Xenopus tropicalis: one gene and its partner. The protein of the gene in region 2 interacts with the protein of the main gene of each other region in a pairwise test. Links are inferred from orthologs where the notes say so. Each region holds a gene or a part of one and is shown on either strand. Other genes may lie near its edges.

What was found. The genes of interacting proteins can lie anywhere in the genome.
Region 1: the proteins of cdca7l (region 2) and ctnnbl1 interact in binary tests that used the Homo sapiens proteins (3 or more experiments, as listed by UniProt). The link is inferred for Xenopus tropicalis from reciprocal best matches to the Homo sapiens genes CDCA7L and CTNNBL1.

Annotation. Positions count from the first base shown.
Region 1 is NC_030686.2:39,411,880-39,419,145, forward strand, and holds the end of ctnnbl1 (beta-catenin-like protein 1), read right to left. Parts: intron 6,820-7,266; coding exon 6,638-6,819; intron 5,950-6,637; coding exon 5,852-5,949; intron 5,733-5,851; coding exon 5,652-5,732; intron 4,857-5,651; coding exon 4,719-4,856; intron 3,688-4,718; coding exon 3,615-3,687; intron 3,031-3,614; coding exon 2,942-3,030; 3' UTR 2,476-2,941; downstream 1-2,475. UniProt on the Homo sapiens protein: Component of the PRP19-CDC5L complex that forms an integral part of the spliceosome and is required for activating pre-mRNA splicing.
Region 2 is NC_030682.2:39,651,411-39,658,987, forward strand, and holds the end of cdca7l (cell division cycle-associated 7-like protein), read right to left. Parts: intron 6,184-7,577; coding exon 5,842-6,183; intron 5,298-5,841; coding exon 5,223-5,297; intron 5,139-5,222; coding exon 4,953-5,138; intron 4,622-4,952; coding exon 4,487-4,621; intron 3,537-4,486; coding exon 3,387-3,536; intron 2,710-3,386; coding exon 2,573-2,709; intron 2,324-2,572; coding exon 2,293-2,323; 3' UTR 1,487-2,292; downstream 1-1,486. UniProt on the Homo sapiens protein: Plays a role in transcriptional regulation as a repressor that inhibits monoamine oxidase A (MAOA) activity and gene expression by binding to the promoter.

The DNA of each region.
Region 1 (7,266 bases), on a different chromosome or scaffold from region 2:
AGCTGGGCCTTGTGCTGCGAGACTGTCTCAAACCACAACCCATTTTCACTATTACAGTCTATTTGTAGGGCTGTCACATTGCAGTAAGGGAGCAATATCCAGGGTAAGAGCTTTGCCTACAAATAGAGCATTGGTCAGTGGGTATTAAAGCGGGCTGAGATGTTCTGCAGGAACAGAGAGCTGCGTGGATATATTTAGTGCTTTTCTGTAAAGGGCTCTTTAGCAATGAATCTCTCAATGTGACAACAGAATCCAAGGAGGGGGGGGGGGTCTTGTCAGCACCTGACAAGGCTTAGGGTACAAGGACAATAAATTAGATGGCGGCACCGGCCTGTAATGATAGGTGGCACAGTGCCAGGCAGGGCACAAAGCTGGCATTGGATGTAACCATGCTCAGAAGAGATAAGAGAAAGCGCAGCCCGCAGTGACTCAGGGCATCACAGAACATTACACCTAGAATATTATCCCAATAGCTCATTAATCAGTTGGTGGCAAGACGGATGTGTTTTGGGCCGCAGGGCAGGTAAATGGTTAAGAAGTCTCTTCCCTCCACCCCAAAACAGTTCCGCGCGCTTTTTTCTCATTACAGTAGGCATAGCGGCCGATGTGGGATAATATGATTTTAATGACCGGAACCGTCTCCTGGCTCCTGCGTGGTTATCAATTAGACGATGTATACGGGCTCCAGCAGGGCAGCCTCGGCTAGCGCTCCTCCAAGGTCAGCACCGAGTGTGGGCTGCATTTAACCGCTTCCTGCTACCGGATTCATATACACAGGCCATGCAGGGACAGATATATTGGCTACCGGCCCCACAACAACTTGCTCTGGGCTCCATGCAGATGAAGAAGTGGAGTCAGTCTGGGTTAATTGGTGATATTGTAAAGGTTTATCTGGTAACCCACAGCAACCAATAAGCAGTTAATATGCAATAGTGTAGTATGATTTATGGAAGCTAACATCTGACTGGCCATTTAATTAGGTACCCCTAAATATACAATTGAGCAGGCACAAGCAATCTGTAGTACTACAACTCCCAAAGCCAACGTTGCATGGAGAGGAGACATACGACGAAGATTACCTTTTTGGTTGTTGTAGAGAGCACCATTCTGAAACAATTTGCAATTGGTCTTTTTTTTTTTTTTAATTTCTGGTTTTACAATTCTTTAGCTTTAGATTCATCAACTCTACAGCTTGGAAATGTAGCAGCTATACGGTGGCTAGGGTCCAAAATACCCTAGCAACCAGTCACAGGTTTAAATGAGAGACTGGAATATGTACATTTAGGAGCGGGTCTGAATAGAAATATGAGAAATACAACAGGGGCAAAAAATCTGGTACAGGTATAGGACCCATTATCCAGAAAGCTTGGGACCAAGGGTATTCCGGATAAGGGGTCTTTCTGTAATTTAGATCTCCATCCCTTAAGTCTATAGGATTGTTTTGCATCCAATAAGGATTATTTATATCTTAGTTGGGATCAATTACAAGGTACTGTTTTATTATTACAGAGAAAAGGGAATCATTTAACCATTAAATAAACCCAATAGGGCTGTTCTGCCCCCAATAAGGGGTAATTATATCTTAGTTGGGATCAAGTACAGGTACTGTTTTATTATTACAGAGAAAAGGGAATTATTTAACCATTAAATAAACCCAATAGGGCTGTTCTGCCCCCAATAAGGGGTAATTATATCTTAGTTGGGATCAATTACAAGGTACTGTTTTATTATTACAGAGAAAAATGAAATCAGTTTTAAAATTCAGAATTATTTGATTAAAATGGAGTCTATGGGAGACAGGCTTTCCGTAATTCGGAGCTTTCTGGATAATGGGTTTCCGGATAAGGGATCCCATACCTGTATAGTGAAGTGACACGAATCAGACAAAACCGAGGACCAGATTTGGATCAGTATTCTAAGCCTTCGCTTCACTGGGAGCTCTTGTTTGTCGACTATATGATTCAGAACCATCAACCATGTTATGTGGGAGTCAAAAGGAGACCCCATTTAATACGGTCTATAGTTGTTAGTACGCAAAATGCAGCACCAAGTTATCATTTGGCAGCTTGTTAGGAAAGGAGGATTAAAGGGAGAAGATATACTTGCAGCTAAAAATCAGTAATTTACAGAAAAGTCCCAGTGACACAGGCATGACGTAGCCCTTAGAATCTCCCTAGAAACTGCATTTTCAGAGGTTATATGTCCCCTGTCCCCCCGTCCCCAGCGAGCAATTATCAGACGCCTGCCATAAGATCAATAGCCTCCAGTTCTGGGAATCTTTAGGAGCGCTCCTATCGGCTGACAATAGCCATTCTGATATATCGATTGCATCCTTGCCGAGTTTTATCCGAGCGCCAGAGGTGCAGCCTGTCTCAAGTGTCTGCTCGATGGCTGCCTCTGCCAGTTATTGATCCGAAAGCCAAACAGGATCTTTTAAACAGCAGCGTCTGGCATTTGAGTGGCAGGGAAACAAGCCAATGAGCCAGTGCTTTATTCTTTACACTCAAAAGCATGTCATACAGTATCGGAATACAGGCCGTAAATATGATCAGACATAAGGCTTCACTTACTGTGACAGGAGTGTTAACCTACTCACTGCCCTTTGGGCAAGGGCACAGTAAATAGCAGCTAAAGCCTTACGGCTACAGGGAGTGATTTCCCATGCATAACCCCTACCAGCCAAAGATGTGATTCAGCAATCTTTTTAAAACACAGAAGGAGATGCAAATTATTATTACTGTACTTTATATAAAAATACCAAACATGGACATTTGGATGGCATCACCTTGGACTCACGTCAAAAGACAAAAAAAAAATGTAGCAGATGGACAGAGGGTGGGTTGCAGGAAAAAATGGCAAATCCAAATGTTAAAAGTTCTATTTACATATAGATCCTTCGGGGCAAGGTATTTAGGGTGCATTTGTAGGAGGCCGGTAGGTGTTATAGCGTCTCCAGCAGCTCCTGAATTCTCTTTTGCTCACTTTCCCGGAACTCTTCGCTCTTCCCATCACCAATGCTCTCAGAGTATTCTACAGGGTAAAAATAAGCAGGGAAATTAGATATGGAGAAAAAAAAAAGTGACAGCCCTCCCGATAAGAAAAACTGGCAAAGTAATGGAACAGATGCAGAAGAAGTTTCCTAGAAGGTCCCATATATTCCTTGTTGTCCCCACATATTTCTTACAGTCCCCATGTATCCCTTACTGTCAGCTAAGCACAGTACACCCACTCCCTTCCCTGTACTTTCCTCTATTGCTACATAAAACTCCCCCATTGTTCCATATAACCCATAGCTATAATTCCCCCATTGTTCCCTTACCCCCTTCCTTATAACTCCTCCTACTGCCCCATATTACACGCCTATCCACACTCACACCAGCCCCCTTGGTGCCTCCATTTTCCTCTTCCCTATAACCCCACCCTCTCAGTTCCATATAAACTTTACAGCCTCTCACTCACGTATCATATAACGTATCATATAATCCCCTGGCCCTTTGTTCCATATATTATATAAATAACCCTTAAAATCTGACAGAGGAAGTAGTAATGTAAAATGGGGAAAAGACAGTCCAGTACAGCATATGGGGATGTGGATCTCTTGAGTTAAAACTTACCTTTTAGAATATGTCTCATGATTTTCACAGAGCTTCCCCTCATGTTTAGAATTTGCAGCACTCTCTGGCGAATCTGGAATTAAAAGCACAAGAAAATGTGAGTGAAAGAGACAAGAAAGGGAAAGGAAATCCCATAACGTGTTGATCAAAAAGTAAGAAGTGGAACTGCAAGCAAGGAGAGAAGGTAGGAAGCAGCCATGGGAGGAATGCAAACAAAGCCAATTTAGCATGGATTAGGCAACAGGGGATAATAATAATTAAGTACCGGCCCACAGAAGGGAAGAACATAGGCCAATATCTCTATTAGCAACAGTTACTATATCTTATTGCTTAAACAATTATTGTGCCGCTACCCAACGCCAAGCGTATGCATCCATCTCTTCCTTAGATGATAAAAATCATCACCCCTGCTTAATAAAGCAGGCTATTGCATTTCATATAAAGATGGTTACACCCCATAAAGGTTTGGGGACCACTGCTGGAAGGCCATTTGAGCACTGGCAAACTAAAACTGAGGGATGGTGAAATTCTGATGGTTTAAATATCTGTGTAATTTGTAGCTGGATGAGGAGGCATCACTGCAATACGAAACACGGTGCTCCCTCCTAAGTATCTTATTCTCACTGTTTTCCTAAGTTTATCCAATATTCCTAAACTAATGTCCTACCACAGATTGTTCAAAGGGTTTCTCACCTTTAAATTAACTTTTAGTATGATGTAGAGTGTGCTATTCTGAGGCAATTTGTAATTGGTCTTTATTTTTTATTGCCTGTTTAATTGTTTAGTTTTTTTGTTCAGCAGCTATCTTGCTGCTAGGGTCCAATTTAACCTAGCAACCAGGCAGTGGTTTGAAAGAGAGGCAGGGATAGAATTAGAGAAGGGACTAAACAGAAAGATATGTAACACTACCAATAACATTGTAGCCTCACAGAGCAATAGTTTTGTTGGCTGCTGGGGCCAGTGACCCCCATTTGAAAGCCGGAAAGGTATACAAAATAAAACATGAAGACCAACTGAAAAGTTGCTAAGAATAGGACATTCCATTCTGTACTAAAAGTTAACCTGAAGATGAACAAGAGCTGGTGGGTTGCAGGATGGGCATACCTGCGGCAGGTTGTTGTTACAGATCTCCGCTGTGACGTAACACAGGAGCTGAAGCAGGAAGAGGCCGGCATCCAATCTTCGCAAGTAAAACTCCTCCTCGACATCATCATCTAAAATCTCCCCTCGGCGCACCATATCCTGCCAGCACAACATACTCCATTAAGGACAGGTGGCAAAACAAGGGAAATGGAAGTAAAAATATTTAAAGGAGAACTGAACCCTAATAATGAATAAGGCTACAAATGCCAAATATTTTATATACTTATTGCACCAGTTTAAAGATTCAGCATCTCTAGTTGTAATGACCTTCAGTTGCCCCAGAAGCTCCCCATCTTGGTTTCTGCTAGGAGTGTCAGCGACACTGCACATGCTCAGTGGGCTCTGGGGTGGCTGCTGAGAAGCTTAGCTTGGGTTATCACAAATCAAGCAGAAAATGAGGTTTGCTTATAGGGCTATTACAGTCTGACGCAAATTGCACTGGTTTCAGAGCAGCCATGCAATGAAAATTACTAATCAGCCTTATATTGTCACATTTATATTCTATATATACAGTATATTGTGCTTCAGTTCTTAAGGTTAGGTAAGTGACAGCAGTAGTATGTGCTACTGGGGGCATCTTTAGAACCATAGATCTTTACTGCTTAACGGCGGTGGTTGCTCTGTTCTAGTACAGAATCCAAAAACATTATGTACAACATTTGTAGCCTCATTTACGCCTTAGTCCTCTTTTAACAGGGAGCAAAAGGGATAGGAGAAAGAATAGTAAGTGGGGGAGAGAAAGAGAGTAAGGGCAGATATGAACAACTGGAAGGTTAACAGCAAATTAACAGCTACTTTAGGACATTCGCTTTAAGCTGGAGAAGAAAACTACATGAAGTGTGAGTGAAACTGGTTATTAGAATAGATATCCAATGTGAGAACAGGGATACTAACATGCTTCTCTCCCTCGATCTTCTTGTCAGCCACCCGTACAGCCTCCAGGTATTTAAAGTACAACTCCATGAGCCGATCCACCTGCGGGAGAATCAGAAGGCAAGAAAAAAAAAAGCTTAACATTCCAGGTCCAACACGTGATGTGAACTATTTCTGTGCTCATCACAGGTGTAAGAAGAGCTTTCGCATTTCACACTCACCTTTTCGCAGTCACTTTCTGTGAACTTGCTGAGAAGCCGTGTCCTCTGCTGACCCCTCAGGTTCCGCAGCAGCGAGGCCAGGATGGAGCACACGTGTTCTGTAGGAAAAGCAAAGAACAATGTTTGGGGGGGAGCTGGGACATCTTGTTACATACATGGAAAGAGGAAATAACATGAAACAAATGGAGTTATATAAATGGTGGCATAGGAACTGTATATATGGATAGATACTTATTACACACACTATTAAAATAATCAGCATTGGAAAGCAGCCTACAGTCCATAACCCCCACTAGGTAGAAGGATTATGAGCCCATATGGAAGAGCTGCCTTAATAAAAGGAACAATTAAATAGCTAACAAGGGGGGGCAGACTTATGTCAGGAAATTTTCTTTTTCTCTCTCGACGTCTGCTAATCCCTTTGGCTTAAGCATATTGTGCTGCCAGCAAAGCACCGTTACCCTCAATATTTTTTCACAGTTAGAGATTAGCCTCTGTGAGTTAAACTGGAAAGCTGCCAGTTGGCTGCCTGGTAATGATACTCAGAGCTTAGCCGAAGCTCTAGGGAGACCAGTGTCAAAAGCAGGGTGGGAAATAGGCACTTGGAACAATCACAGCTGGGTCCTGTGAACCTTCATCAGTGGGTTGGGGCAATATGCTGGTTGCTCACAGTTACTATCCAGGTCTAGACCAGTAGGTTTGAATAGTTATTTTGCTAAGAAATTAGTGCCGGGCGATTCCAAAAAACAGTAGGCGCAGCTTCCATTGCCTTCTCTAGCCACTTACCCTCATGCTCCTTCTCAGAGACGCCGGTTTTCTTTGCTTTTTTGGGAGATTTCATGAAAAGAGGAAAGATGGTTCGGAGTCCGAGGATGTCGACAAACTTGTGACAATTATCTGTACCCTCTGGGCCGATCATGGCGTGATCTAATACCCGCAGGGCACTGCAACGGGACATTTTTTTCTCGCTGTAAAGAAATGGATAGGGTCACTGCATGATAAATAGCACAGACATATCCAGACTGCATTTAAAGGGGATCTAAACCCAAAAAGAAAATTAGTGTAAAATGAAAAAATGCTCAGAGCAATACCATCACCTGGGGTTCTCCAGATGGTGTTAAACTGCAACCTGTTGCTATATGGAGGGCCTGCAGTTGCCGCTGCCTAGTCTATGTCAACCATACTTGGAGTCAGGAAGGAATTTTTTCCCCTCTGTGGCAAATTAGAGAGGCTTCAGATGGGGTTTTTTGCCTTCCTCTGGATCAACTAGTAGTTAGGCAGGTTATATATAGGCATTATGGTTGAACTTGATGGACGTATGTCTTTTTTCAACCCAACTTACTATGTTACTATGTTACTATGCTAGCAGGAATCCATTTCCTGCCAACTTTTACAATATTAAAAAAAAATTGACA
Region 2 (7,577 bases):
TTAAACATATTACAAAAGACTCTAAATACAAGAAAATAAACCCAGTGGCAGTTACTTAACCGAAGAATATAAATGACCACATTTCCGTCCGTTTGTAATGCACCAAGGCATGTGTTGCACAGATTGCCCATCCTCATTGGCAGCTACCTACGTGTACATGCCTTCTCTGCCCAGTTCCAACCATCCCTTCTCTTCTTCAGGTTCACTTTTATTGTATGTTATACAATAGCCAATTCTAAGCAACTTTTAATTTGGTCTTTATTATTTATTTGTAATATTTTTTTAATTTGCCTTCTTCTGAGTGTTTCCAGTCTTTAAATAGGGGTCAATTACCCCAGCAGCCAAAAAACTCTCTCTGTCAGGCTACAATTTTGTTATTGTTATTTTTTATTCCTTATCTTTTGATTCATTTCTCTCCTATTCAGATTTCAGTCTTTCATTCAAATACCTTCCTGGTTGCTAAGGTAATTTGGACCCTAGCAACCAGATAACTGCTAAAACTTCTAACTGGAGAGATGCTGACCAAAAAGTGAATAAAAAGTTTGATCAAAAGGAGCATTAGTGAGCCACAGAAAAGTATGAAACATTGTTGTACAACATCAATTTATAGCTCAGTTTAAAGGGGTAGTTTGCCTTTAAGTGGTAACTTTTACTATGATATATAATAGCCAATTCTTATCAACTTTTCAATTTGTCAATTTTTTATAGCTTTTAAATTATGTTTTCTTCTGACTCTTTGCAGCCCTCAAATGGGGGTTACTGACACCGGCAGTCAAAAATTATTGCAGTATGAGGCTATATTACTAATCTTTCAATCCAGGTTCTCCCCCTATTCATATTCCAGTCTCTCATTTTAATCACTACCTGGTTGCTAGTGTAATTTGCACCCTAGCCACTGATAGCTGCTAAAATTCCAAACAAAAACATAAACTAATCCAAAAGACACAATTATAAAAATGAAGACCAAATGCAGATTGTCTTACAATAGCGCTCTTTGTATCATACTAAAAATTAATAACAGGTGAACCACCCCTTTACCAGCTATGATTGAAATGACAGCAGCATATATACAAGTTATGCCCAAACTGGGAAGTTGCAACATCAGTGCATTTCTCCTGCTTACAGGGACCATAATACTAGCATCCATGCAAATGATTGTTATTGTTTGTCCAGCTAAACAAAAAGGTTAAACTCACAATATCAAGGTACAGCGCTATTCTTACACTGCTTCATAAACAAAAAAAGCAGTACCTGCCTCCTTGTGTTACGGCTTCTGTAAGGATAAAAGCTGAGTACTATAAATGCATCAGTGATAAAATACAGTTGCAATCGCAGTCTATACTGTAAACAGGGGGACTTGTCATGTCACAAATGAAACTGCTGCAGTTCTGAGTTTGGCCAGAATACAGAGTAAAGGATTCATGACAAACTGTCTACCAGTGTCTCCATTGGTCCTCAGGTGAGGTGATAAAAAAAACAAAAAATGCCTGCTTCAACTTTTTATAAAGTAGAACAAATGCCCAGATCAGGCCAATTTAGCATTACAACATGGTCAAATCAGCTACAAACCTTTCCATGTTTGCAGTATTCATAGTGAACAAGGAAACTTCAGCGATTAAGAGCTTTAACTAAAACTTTAAAAAAATATATATACACACTAATATAAAATTTCTGGATACCTACTAAAAACATGTACAAAACCGTATATTCTGGGATTTAAATTTCTTTTTAAAAGAAGAAAATGTGCCAATTAGGCACATTTTTTTGTTCCTTACTTAAAAAGGGTGTTGCTTAAAGGAACAGTAACATCAAAAACAAGGTGTATAGAAATAATTACAATATAATATACTGTTGCCCTGCACTGATGAAAGTTGTGTGTTTGCCTCAGAAAGACTACTATCGTTTTGGAAACAAAGCTGCTGTGTAGCCATGGGGGCAGCTATTCAAAGGAGAAAAGGCACAGGTTACTTAGCAGGTAGCAGATAAAAAAACCATAATATTCTACAGAATATTATCTGGTCTGGAACCTGTGCATATTCTCCTTTTTTCAGCTTAAATGGCTGCCCCCATAGATTCACAGCAGTGTATTTATATAAACTATAGTAGTGTTTCTATAGTAAACACACAACTTTTACCAGTGCAGGGCAATAGTACATTATATTTTTATTACCTTAAAGCTCTTTCATTTTTTGGTGTTACTGTTCCTTGTGCCTAAATGGATACACAGGGTTTATTAGCCATAAGTAGAAACGTTCACTGGGATTAGTTCTAGTTGTGGTTGTTTACAGCTGTTCAGTCTTCATCCTCCATTTGTTTCTTCAGGCTGAAAGAGAAGGAGAAAAGTTAAGTATGGTATAATAAAACTGCAATATGGAGTGCTATACACATGCTTCTTCTCAAAGCAGGGACAGAGAGATGGATCTGCTCAAGCAGTTAATTTTCTACATCTCTACTTGCTACACAATAACATGCCTGATACAAATAATTTACAGTTTCAACAGAAGTATTATTCTTTTAATACAATTCCTGAAGCGTAAAATAGGGAATGAATCTGTAAGTAGAAAGTCTGTACCTCTCAAGGTATTCTTTCACATTGTCATAACCAGAGAACTTTGCCAAATGAATGAGCATGCCAGTTGCACAGCGGCCATCGCGTTTTCGACAGTAACTGCAGTTACAAATGTCACGGCAAGGAGGACAAATCCAATCCTGGAATTAAGAAGAGAAAAATAGAACTATCCTGCAGTAAACTACACAAACATTTTATTACACACAACTTTTTTGAGGTAGGTGGTAGAAGGAAATGGAAAAATTCATTTGAATGAAGTCATGTGGCAATCACCACTAACCAATTCGTTTACATAAAAAACAGGTTTGATGATGGTGTTGGAACTGCTTATTTGAGAATTTTCAGGTGAAAAGCACCAGTTCTAGGGATGACATGCCTTTAGTCATATAAATGAAACTGGAGGCAGATGTAGTGGTAAGGGGCACTTAAAAGGATTCAGTTAAAGCATTAAGGGGAACAACCTACATACTGTATAGAGCATTCCGAAGACAGCATTACACATGCATAGAATAGGGCATGCAGTACTGTACATTAGAATTAACAGTACAAACAGGAGTCAACACAATAATAAAAAATACAGAATGTATCATTCATTTAAAAACACATTAAGAAAATGTTATAAACATACATAAATAATATCAGAAATAAGTCAAAGTGGTTTGAAGAGGCAAGAAGCTTAATTAAACAGGTCCCTTTCTGAAGCATAAGACACACTATTAGTGGCTCAGAAAGAAATAAACTTAAAAAGCCAAACACAGCTGGTGTCACTATTAAATTGCACTATTATATAGCTTCAGACCAAGGCTGGGTTACTCACAGGGTCTAAAAGTGCTTCTCGAACATCTTCCCCATATCGGTTCCGCAAGCAGGGCCCACAAAATTGCCCTCTGACACCACCGCATCCAGGATTACGGCAAACTGTCTTAGTGTCAATTGTTTTCTGCCTACATTGATGACAAGTACTACCCTAAAATGGAAAAAAAAAAAAAAAAAAAAAAGAAGAGCTTAATTTACACACACACACACCAGTTTACTGAACAAAATTACAATATTTTGGAAAGAACTATTTCCAGTCTCCGTTTAATGGATTTGCAGGATCAATAAACAAAACTACACCAAAGTATACTAACTCCTTTCAGCCAGTGCCCTGGCTGGGATTGAAGCAAGGACCCCAGGGAACTTTCTGCAAGGAGCAAGTATGTTCTACACTACACTCTTAGGGGGGCATTTATTACCATTCGGATTTTCGTAGTTTTATAGATTTTTGAAACCACAACTAAACTAATTTCCATGAAGGTCAGTCATTTATGAAAAGATCTGAACTGAAAAAGACCAAACTTAAAAGGTGCAGAAAAAAATGAGAAAACCTAGACTTTTCCGTTTGGTCACATGAAAACCGTGCTTTTTGTATTGTCATACATAAGCCAGAGGGAAAAAAAAAAACACAGAAAACCTCTAAAACCAAGAAGCAAAGAAAGATCCAGTTGTAAAAGGGCCATCTACCACTGACTTCTACATGATCAACAGGTTTTAGATACCATATTTTTGTATTTAGATTTGTTGTGGTTTTGTTTTACCCTGTGACAAATTCATATTTCAGCGTCAAAAAAAAAGTAAATGCGTTAGTAAATGCCCCCTTAAGTTTGTAAAACGGATCAAACAATTTGATTATTTCCTAAATACAGTATATTGTGGGTGAAAGGAAAGACTAAAAATAACAAAATATTCTTAAGAACTTATAATTTCTCCATTAATGTTGACAGACAAATTCTACTAATGTAAATGACAGGCTCAGGCATTTCTCTACCGGCTGAAAAATAATGGTGAAAAATACACCACGTGTGCCTTGAGCCCAATATAGTAATACAAATATATTTCCCTATACAAATACATTTACATGAAAAGCTGGATATTTACCAAAATCTTATCATAAATTTTATCCTTGACTGAGTCTGCAACATTTTGCAGCTCCTCTTCTGTAATATCTTCTACGGCACGCACCACAGTATTCTTGGAAGATCGCCTCCTCTTTTGATATTGTTCTCTCTCATCCTATATTAAAAGATCAAGTCTATTTTAACAACTGTCACTAAAAGAAATCTCCCTTGGTGGAGAATCCACCTGTGTGACATTAGCATTCTCTTTGGAACACTCTTCAAATCAAAAGTGTATATAAATAATACACACAACACAAACATACTTTACAAAAAAAAGCATTGTTTTCATGCCTAAATAAACACTAACCACTGTATCCCTTTAATTACTTAGTGGTCTCCATTTTAACACCACAACATTAACTGCCATTTAGGGTTATTGAAAAGCATTACCCCCCAGGAAAAGATACTTAGTTGTTAGACATAGTTTAAAGAAAGCGATTGGGTACCTCACTCAAAGTCCGCTTTATAAAAGCTTTCTTGCCATATTTATGAACATGCTCAGCAAACTTAACAGCTGACAAAGCAAAATTTTCCAAACCAAAGTTCTCTGGTGGCCGAGCACTTCTGTTTGGGTTTGTACGCCGTTCAACATGACCTTCAGAAAATGTCCTCCGAGGAGTCTTCTTCTGCTTCTAGAGGGGAAAAAAAACTGTAATTTTGGCTTACATTGCATAAAGTAAAGTATATAATTCTTATAAAGCAGACACGGTACTCACTGCGGGTGATGTGGAAGGTGTCCTTACTGGAAAGAGATCTGGCATTGAATTAAGTTCTGACAAAAGCTGAGCAAGCTGAAATTAAAAAAATGAATACAAAAAAGAAAATTAGAAAACCTGTATTAAACACAAATCTGATTCACAATTAAACATATAAAATAAACCAATATATACTGATTAGGGTTAACAAATTAAAAAAAAAAGGGAGATTTGTTTTTACTAACTGAAAAATCCTTTGTGCTAAGTCCTGTAAAAGCAGCACAGGAAGGATAGGGTTAATGTCCTATCCCCTTTAGCAGGAAGAATGCTGTACAGGTCATATACTCCTCTTGCAGACATTAACCCATACAGCCTTTTCCTGCCAGCATGTAGGAGCTACATGTTTTGCAGGGAAAGGGTTAATAACTGAAAGACAAAAAGACAAAACCCATTCAGTCATAATCATAAATGTCCGTAACTACATACCCCATGTCTCGCCTATACCTGCCTCCCTTTCAATTGTAAGTCCATGTGGGTGATGCCCTCACTAAGGTGTCTCAGTTTGTCAGTATTTAAAATGCTGGTAAATATGGCTAAATGTGTAAAAAGTCACCATGTCAGCTGTTTTGTTGCTACATACCATTGCTTTGTTTTCCTTTATGTTCATTGCCCTTTTCAGCAAAGCACTTGGATTTTCGACGTTGGAAGTAGGATCCTCATCTTCTGAATCAGATCCAGGAGCTGGTCTTTTCTTGCAGGATCGTTGTTCTTTCTTCACTCTAGAGGGTGGTTTCTTACTATCCTTTTTGCCTGGTTTTACAAGTGAGGAGTCGGGGTTCTTTTTCGCAGTCTTGCCGGCACACTTTTTGTTAGTGAATGGGAGAGCAACGCGTAGACCCTGATTTCTCTTTTTAGGTAAGGGAGCTTCATCTTCACTGTCCGACAGTACAACATCCACAGAATAGCCTTCATCAGCCCCTGTCTGGAGAAAAAAACAATATTAAAAACCAAATTATACCTTGTAATATTCAGTCCAATATATGTTATGATATAGAAGCAATGAATAAATCCCTAATAAAGCATCATGGCTTGCTATTAAGGTCTTAAGTTAGTTTGTTCTTTGGCAATACACATCCCAAAACAAGCTATAACCCCCAGCATCTTGTTGTCCAACCCTTATATAAAGCCACTGACCTGCAAGCCATGAGCCAAGGTGGCCATACACGAACAGATTTAAGCTGTAAATTTAAGTCCTTTAGAACAATTTGGCAGTTTATCTGCCATGTATGGGGCCCCCCAAATGGGCCTCCCCGATCCATACCAGGCCAAAAAATCAGGCAGGTTTTATTTTCCCATCGGATTTGAGGTTGCATCAGCTCATAGATGCGGTCCTGAGTCCGAAGGCTCCTCTACCTGTTGTTGGAAATTGATCATTTGGCCCTAGGTCCAAACGATCAAATTAGCCCCATATCATCCACCTTAGGTGGGCATGTCAGGAGAAGATCTGCTCGTTTGGCCACTAAGCCAAACGAGTGGATCTTAACGTGTATGGCTACTTTCACACTTGGGGGCACATTTACTAATCCCGAATGCATTTTTTTTTTTGTAATGATCGGTATTTTGTGATTTTTTCGTAAATTGTTGCGACTTTTTCGTAGCCATTACGACTTGCTCGTAAATTGTCGCGACTTTTTCGTAGCCATTACTACTTGCTCGTAAATTGTAGCGACTTTTTCATAGCCGTTGTGCCGAGTACGAAAGTTTTGGATTCATTCAAGCTTCAGTATCGTGACTTTCCTTGGGCCAGGTTGGAGCTGCAGAGTGCCATTGAGCCCTATGGGAGACTTTCCTTGGGCCAGGTTGGAGCTGCAGAGTGCCATTGAGCCCTATGGGAGACTTTCCTTGGGCCGGGTTGGAGCTGCAGAGTGCCATTGAGCCCTATGGGAGACTTTCCTTGGGCCAGGTTGGAGCTGCAGAGTGCCATTGAGTCCTATGGGAGACTTTCCTTGGGCCGGGTTGGAGCTGCAGAGTGCCATTGAGTCCTATAGGAGACTTTCCTTGGGCCAGGTTGCAGCTGCAGAGTGCCATTGAGCCCTATGGGAGACTTTCCTTGGGCCAGGTTGGAGCTGCAGAGTGCCATTGAGCCCTATGGGAGACTTTCCTTGGGCCAGGTTGGAGCTGCAGAGTGCCATTGAGTCCTATGGGAGGCTTCCAATATCATGCAAAGTCGCAAAGGTTTGCCCGCCATTTACGAGCGCTCAATACGAAAAAGTTGCGACAATATACGAGCAAGTCGTAATGGCTACGAAAAAGTCGCGACAATTTACAAGCAAGTCGTAATGGCTACGAAAAAGTCGCGACAATTTACGAGCAAGT